2 linked regions of the Oreochromis niloticus genome follow. The main gene of each other region encodes a partner of the protein of the gene in region 2 in a complex. Links are inferred from orthologs where the notes say so. Each region holds a gene or a part of one and is shown on either strand. Other genes may lie near its edges.

The links. Proteins that work in one complex are often made in the same cells at the same time.
Region 1: tbp (region 2) and taf12 share a complex: the UniProt entries of both Homo sapiens proteins name them as parts of the TFIID basal transcription factor complex. The link is inferred for Oreochromis niloticus from reciprocal best matches to the Homo sapiens genes TBP and TAF12.

What each region holds. Positions count from the first base shown.
Region 1 is NC_031976.2:26,032,234-26,036,063, forward strand, and holds the start of taf12 (transcription initiation factor TFIID subunit 12), read left to right. Parts: upstream 1-1,461; 5' UTR 1,462-1,620; intron 1,621-2,825; 5' UTR 2,826-2,968; coding exon 2,969-3,046; intron 3,047-3,347; coding exon 3,348-3,425; intron 3,426-3,671; coding exon 3,672-3,786; intron 3,787-3,830. UniProt on the Homo sapiens protein: The TFIID basal transcription factor complex plays a major role in the initiation of RNA polymerase II (Pol II)-dependent transcription.
Region 2 is NC_031965.2:25,524,491-25,528,090, forward strand, and holds the start of tbp (TATA-box-binding protein), read right to left. Parts: upstream 2,407-3,600; 5' UTR 2,277-2,406; intron 1,851-2,276; 5' UTR 1,692-1,850; coding exon 1,638-1,691; intron 534-1,637; coding exon 356-533; intron 227-355; coding exon 58-226; intron 1-57. Other genes in the region: psmc3 (26S proteasome regulatory subunit 6A), read left to right, coding at 2,437-3,381. UniProt on the Homo sapiens protein: The TFIID basal transcription factor complex plays a major role in the initiation of RNA polymerase II (Pol II)-dependent transcription.

The DNA of each region.
Region 1 (3,830 bases), on a different chromosome or scaffold from region 2:
ACACCTCGGCCTTTTCTCCCTCTTTCACTGAGACCATTTCTGACGAGGCTTCAGTGAACAGTAGATGGTTCACCTGAAGGTCCAGATACATCTTTCCAAACACATCTCTCTTGCTGGACTTCTGTTTCTTGAGGACATGACTTTCAGATACTGTTCATACGCTGTATGAAGCTTGTTGGACCTACCACCTCTTCTTTTGTCTTCTGCTTGTTTTTTTATTGCAATAAAACTGTACAATTCTTCCTCACTCTGTAGGTGATTTTCCTGAGGATTAATAACAAAGCTAATCTGTTCCCATTCAGACCGTGCAATATCACCCAACAGTTTTTCATTGAATGTTTGTTTCATTTCCCCATCGTATGCTGCTACTCTTTTATTTATTTGCACAATACTATACTTTTAGAATCACCTGCACTGATAGCTAAGCTAAGCTATTTATTTTTCAGGATATAGTTATATTGTTACTTGCTACAGTTATTCGATATTATATTTTGCACTATTCTACTGTATATTACTGTATACTTGTATTCTATTGTACATATTGTATATCTTATTACTCTGTTCCTCTGTCTCTCTTGCTGCATTGAGCATGTGTATGACAAAAGAATTTCCCTCGGGATAAATAAAGTTCTTCTTATCTTATCTTATCTTAACTTATCTTGTCCAGTTTCATCTGATATTTTACTTCAATTCAATTTTATTTCTGCAGGGCCAAATCAAAACAAAAGTTGCCTCAGGGCGCTTTGTTTTGTGAGGTAAAGAACCTACAATAATATAGAGAAAACATAGAAAAGCCCAACAATCAGATGACCCCTTATGAACAACAGCTTTGGCCTGGGACAGTGGAAAGGAAAAACTCCTTCTTTTTTTTTTTTTTTTTGCTTGAATGATAAGATCCATGTTAAGTAGTTTAAAAAGAAAACAAAGAAAAACCAAAACAAACACACAAGCAAAAAATAATCATCTGTAAATGTTCAGGTGCAAAGATTGAAGTGAAAATGAACGAGAAAGAACTAAAAAAAATGAAACTGAGAGAACTATTGCTCAATTAAATTTTAAGGAATTACAAGAAAGCAACTCCTTGAGAGCAGAATATAAAATATATAAACATAGTATAATAATGAATAATAAATAGAATAAAAATATGTATTTAAAAAATATAGGTGACTCAAGACTTTTGCACTGTATTCTGTAAAAGGGAAAGGAATAAATCTATGTTTATGTCTAAGTATCTAGGTTATGTGATGAAAATATTATGTTATTAAATTATTATATATTATAACTAACAATTATAACTATTGTTCGAAGCATGTAAACTTTTATTTTTTAGTAAAATTAGCTCGTGTAGTTACTAAAGACAGCAACGCTTCTTTATTAAAAGATCAATCCGAGTTTTTGTTGTTGTAATTCCACGAAACATCCAGCAGGCGGCAAACTAGAGGACCCAGGGCTGCGGCGTCCACAGGAAACAGAGATCAACAAAGCGGAAGTACTGAAAGGAAACCTCGATTATTTTTCCAGCTACCCAAAGGGGAAAGTGAGAGACGATTTTTGTGTCAAACAACAAATTTGGCATCACAGCAACGCCGAAGCATGGACAGATAGTGTTTGTTTAACTGAGTAAGTTGACAATTTGACGCACAGTTTTAAGATTTAGCCTCCATATCGATTCTCCACCGGATTCGGTGCTAACGTTAGCCGCTATTGTTTTTAGCACCAATGTTAGCGCAAACTTCGGTGTGTTTTTTATTGTTTGTTTTACTCGGTGAAACTCCACAGCCATGATTAATCTATGGTCTGTTGTTTTTATATTTTGAGTGTCGTATTTTTCACTAACTCGATTAATGTTTTCAGTAAACCCATGCCATTGTTTGTCGGCTAAGTTGCATGGCTTGGATTTTGGCATACTTTCGGTATTGTAAAGGTAGTAGAGTTACTAATAAATATTGTAAACAAAAAATAAAATCAACTAAAGCTAAAAGGCTTTATATTGTAAATATAAAGCATCGGCTTTTATGGTAAAACTTCGTGTTATTTTTTTACTTTAAAACCAAGAGTCTTCAGAGCTTGAATAAAGAAAGCAACTGGACTTCTTTAGCTTTGTGAAGACGTTTTATCCAAGAGGCTTATTCAATTTTAAAAACCAAAAAGGTGGAAAGTCCCAGGAATTTTCCCCTTTACGTTGTCCTGAGAGTCGTTAACCCACTATTAATAATGTGACTCATCACATGAACCAAGGTGTGAATAAAGGAGTGGGCCATTATCATCATCGAGGGGTTAAGGGTGAAACTACTGGGAAGGGATCCTAAGACTGCATTGTAGTTTGTTGATACCTGGCGTCCTAATTGTATCAATAATGGTCGTTCACAGTGGGTTTAGATGATCAGAACCTCAATAGGTCACATGATGGAGTGGGCAAGAGTAGTTTTGCCCTTATCCCCCAGTGATGGAAATGACCCACGCCCTTTTTTCACACTTTGGCTCACGATCAGTAGTCTGTCAACAACTCTCAGGACCACCTCCAAACAGGACGATCACTAGTACGGGTTAAATACCTGGACATCCCACCATTTGTCTTTAGAATTGAAGAAGCCTCTTAAATGGAAAGTCTGGCTTCACAAACCCAAAGACAGTTTCCCCCCTTTTCAAGCTCTGACAATTGAGAGGCTGCAAAGACATAAACTCTGCATTTTTGAGTGTAATTGGTAAAGAAAACGATGATACAAGCCTTTTTTTTATTAATGTCCTGACATTCAACCTAAACAGCTTGATCAACCTGTGATTAATTTCTGTAGTAACTCTAATTTCTGACTTTTTAATTTCAGATTCACGGCTGTGGACCTGGTAAAGAGGTAATTCATCACATCTGAGTTCAACTTGCTGCTGAGGGTTCGTGAGAGACCCACCACAACGGTTTTGCCCCGCAGTGACACTTCAGAGTCTCTCTGCTTTTCTTTTAGCCACTAGCATGGCTAACAGCACTGTGACAGTGGTTAAGGGTCTGCCACCAGGCCCTGCGGGTAGAAGTAGTCCAGAGGGATCTCAGGTTAGTTAATTTCTTACTTAGCAGAACCAAAGGCCAGGATCTGTGTAATAACTTACTGACTTCATGTCTTAAAATGCCAAAGATTGAGAGTGTATTTTGTTTTACATGAAGATTTTTTTTTTTTTTTTTTTTTACATGAAATATCATGAAAATATCAGTGCAAAACTTATGGCTCCTTGCTTTAAATGTGAGAAAACTGTGTTGTATTGTATTTTTGCAATCTCTTACTATCACTAAGCTGTTATGCAGACCACACAACCTCACCCATTAGCTTTGATGGATGCATCTTCTTTCTTCCCAGGTGCTAAGTAAGAAAAAGCTGCAGGACCTGGTGAGAGAGATTGACCCAAATGAGCAACTGGATGAGGACGTTGAGGAGGTTTGTCAGTAGTTTAAAAAAAAGTGCAAGATTTTTTGGCTAGACAGTAAAGCGTACGAACAGTGCATCTTCTCTTTATTGAATAACATTTAAACTTTTTTGCTTTAAAGCCTTTTTTCATCATTTGCAATGAAAACTTGCCTAATGCTGTTAACAGCTGAAAATATGATGGTTTTCAAGCTATAGTGAAACAGATGGTTTCTTCAGTTTGCTGTCTGGTTTTCAAAATCCCTGTTTTCTTCTCAGATGCTGCTACAAATTGCAGATGATTTTATAGAGAGTGTAGTGACGGCAGCCTGTCAGCTGGCACGCCATCGCAAGTCCAACACCTTGGAGGTGAAAGATGTTCAGTTACATCTAGGTAAGTTGCTTGTGACGTTTTTGAGTGATTGGGTCATTCTTTAT
Region 2 (3,600 bases):
CGTTTAAAGCAGTTATCACCAAAAATGGGGGTGGGTGGGATGAGATGTGAAACATACTGTAGCTGCGGTACTATGCCAGAGGTTTCTGAAGCAGGGGTGGCCGGCGTGATGGGGGTCATGGGGGTCAGCGGGGTGGTGAAGAGGGGGGTGTTTCCTGGCAGTGCAGTTGTGGTCGAGCCTCCCACTGCCTGGGAGTGGAAAAGTTGAGGGGTCTGCCCCGACGTCCCTGCAAAAGGAAAAAAAAAAAAAGTGGTGATTTATGTGTAACTGGAGATTAACTTCCATCACGGCTAATTAAACCAAGATTTCTCATAATAAATGTGGAAGATAAAAAAAATGACAGCTTGTGGTGTACCTGAGCTGGCCTGTTGTGCCTGTTGTTGTGCCTGTTGCTGCTGTTGCTGAGCCTGCTGTTGCCTCTGCTGTTCCTCCAGTATTGACAAACTGTTGGTGTTCTGCACTGGCTGGGGTGTCAGACCAGAGCCATATGGCATCATGGGGCTGAAGAGCGGCATGCCTGGGGTCATGGCTCCCTGCATGGGGATAAAGCAAAAAGAAGGGCGTAATGAAGCACAAACTAACTACAGACCAAAGATATAAGACGGTTCCCTCAGTGTTAGTATTCTTGTTTTTAGGTCAGTGATCACAACTGTGACAGCTCAAGGTGTCTTTTTTTCTTGAAATAAAGACGCAACTTTAGAAATAAATCATATTTAGTAAGGTTGGACGATATGTAAAAAGTTTCCAAACGACAATGGTCCGTCCGATAAATGACGATATGCAATATATTCACGCAGGTTCAGGCTTTTTGATGGGCAGAGCAATGTAATGTAATCTGATTTGCGCGTTCAGAATTTATATGTTTTGTTTGGGGGGAATATTTCACCTTCTTTTCTTGCTTGTTTCAGTATTATTATAGCTACTTTTTGGATTATTAGCCAGTATCTCTTTGTTTCCCTCCCCACCATTGCGTGTGTGTTTTTTTTTATTTAAATAAAAAAAAAAAATTTCTTCTTAACTTCTTCTCCCTTTCTTTCTTTCTATTATGAGTTTGAGTAAATGAATCGCTGCATTTGGGCGCACTCTGAGGAGGGTGCCGTTAAAAAGTATTTTTTCCGTTGACTGCTTCTCTTAGCTTTAACCAACATCATTAGAAAACTTACTCATAGACAAATAAATAAATCATTCTTGTAAAAGTGATCTGTTAAAGGCTCAGCCTATCGTCGATAGTCAATATATTTGTCCAATCACCCAACCTTAATATTTAGTAACACATGAGATGATTTAAGGGGTGTTGACACAGGGAGGAAATTACTCATCATCCATCACTTTGTCGCTAATGGTTCATCACTGGAAAGCAGGCTCTGGTTGCATAAGTAACATACATTCATCAGCAGTATCCTTCATTCTCATTGGTAGTCATTTTAAGTGGTTTAACAAACAATACAGATTCCTATGAAAACAGGGACTGAACTGAAAATGTGGAAAAAAGTCCCCATTTTTAAGAACCTAGAAAGCCTGAAGAACTTGGCTCCTTGGATGCATAAATATAAAGAAACAACGGATAGCTAAAGACATTAAAATCTGTGACTTCATTTTCAAAATGCCTTAACGATGAAACACAAAGCCCATGTTACCTGAGGGGAAGCCACCAGCCCTTGGAAGGCTGGTATGCTGTTGTTCTGGTCCATCCCTTTAGATTCCCACGTTACTTCACTGCCACCCAGTAGAAGGCAGTAAAAGCGTGATAACTAACCCAGCAGGGCTCTTTAAACCTTCAGCCTACAATGTCAAACACCAGACGCAAACACTGCAGACTCTTCTTTTTACCCCCGGCAGTAGTGTCTTGCCTGAAAAGATGACAAGAAGCACACTTTACTCAGACAAACATTCAAACAAAGTGGCGTAAACAACATGCAAATGAATGAAACCAAAATCGTGCAGCAGCAAGCGGTGGCGCGAACTCATTTAAATAACTTTAACCTTTTCTAACATTACTTTAACTCTCTCGTTCATTTCTTGCCCAGTACATGAGGTGTCCTTTAACCAGTTAAGTGTGCAAAATGCCGCTAATAAAGTTCCCAAACATTCCTCGCACAAAATGAAACGTGTAAGCACACGGGCTAGCTGAAGTTAGCGGCAGTTAGCATTAGCAAATTTAGCAATCATGAATCTGCAACGTAAACGTTTAAAAATTTCGGATTTATGCGGTAAAAACAACTGCAAATAACTCAAAAGTCTGTCAGCATGAACCAGAAAACCCTTCTTTAGCTTACAATCAAGGTGCCGCTGTTAAAATCAACACACAAACAGCATAAATTCAGCTCCAGCTCCGTTATTAACCCGGACTTCTTCTTGGGCGCTCACGACCTACTTCCGGAAGCTTCTCCTTCTTCTTCTTCCGTCGTGTCACAGTTCACCACAGACACAGCAAAGATGGCGTCGCTGAGTGACAAATCAGTTTGGGATGAAGTGGAGGATGGGATCGGCGAAGAAGTGTTAAAAATGTCCACAGAGGAGATAGTTCAGCGCACTCGTCTCCTCGACAGCGAGATAAAGATAATGAAGAGCGAAGTGCTGAGAGTAACCCACGAGCTTCAGGCTATGAAGGATAAAATTAAAGAAAACACGGAGAAGATAAAGGTGAACAAAACGCTGCCCTACCTGGTGTCTAACGTGATCGAGCTGCTGGATGTGGACCCCAACGACCAGGAGGAGGACGGGGCTAACGTGGACCTGGACTCCCAGAGAAAAGGAAAGTGCGCAGTTATCAAAACTTCAACCCGGCAGACCTACTTCCTGCCGGTGATCGGGCTGGTGGACGCCGAGAAGCTAAAACCGGGAGACCTCGTAGGTGTTAACAAAGACTCCTACCTGATCCTGGAGACCTTACCAACCGAGTATGACTCCAGAGTCAAGGCCATGGAGGTGGATGAGCGCCCCACAGAGCAGTACAGCGACATTGGAGGTCTGGATAAGCAGATCCAGGAGCTGGTGGAGGCGATAGTGCTGCCGATGAACCACAAGGAGAAGTTTGAAAACCTGGGCATCCAGCCCCCAAAGGGAGTCCTCATGTATGGACCCCCTGGCACCGGGAAGACCCTACTGGCCAGGGCATGTGCCGCTCAGACCAAAGCCACATTCCTGAAGCTTGCAGGTCCACAGCTGGTGCAGATGTTCATTGGAGATGGTGCCAAGCTGGTGAGAGATGCCTTTGCCCTGGCTAAAGAGAAAGCCCCATCCATCATCTTCATAGATGAGTTGGACGCCATTGGAACCAAGAGGTTTGACAGCGAGAAGGCTGGAGACAGAGAGGTGCAGAGGACCATGCTGGAGCTGCTCAACCAGCTAGATGGATTTCAGCCAAACATGCTGGTCAAGGTAAATTTGCCTGTTTACTCTTGAATACAGCAAAAGTGCACCACAATTCTGATACCACTTCACTGTTATTTAATGTTAAATACTGATAAAACATTATATACTACATCTGAGTAGATCTAAGGCACCTAAAGTGAATTTGTACAACAATTCATTAAGAAAAACTTTAAAATTTTGTCAGTGTCCAAACCCCCATAGTAATACTTTATGATGACTGGAGTT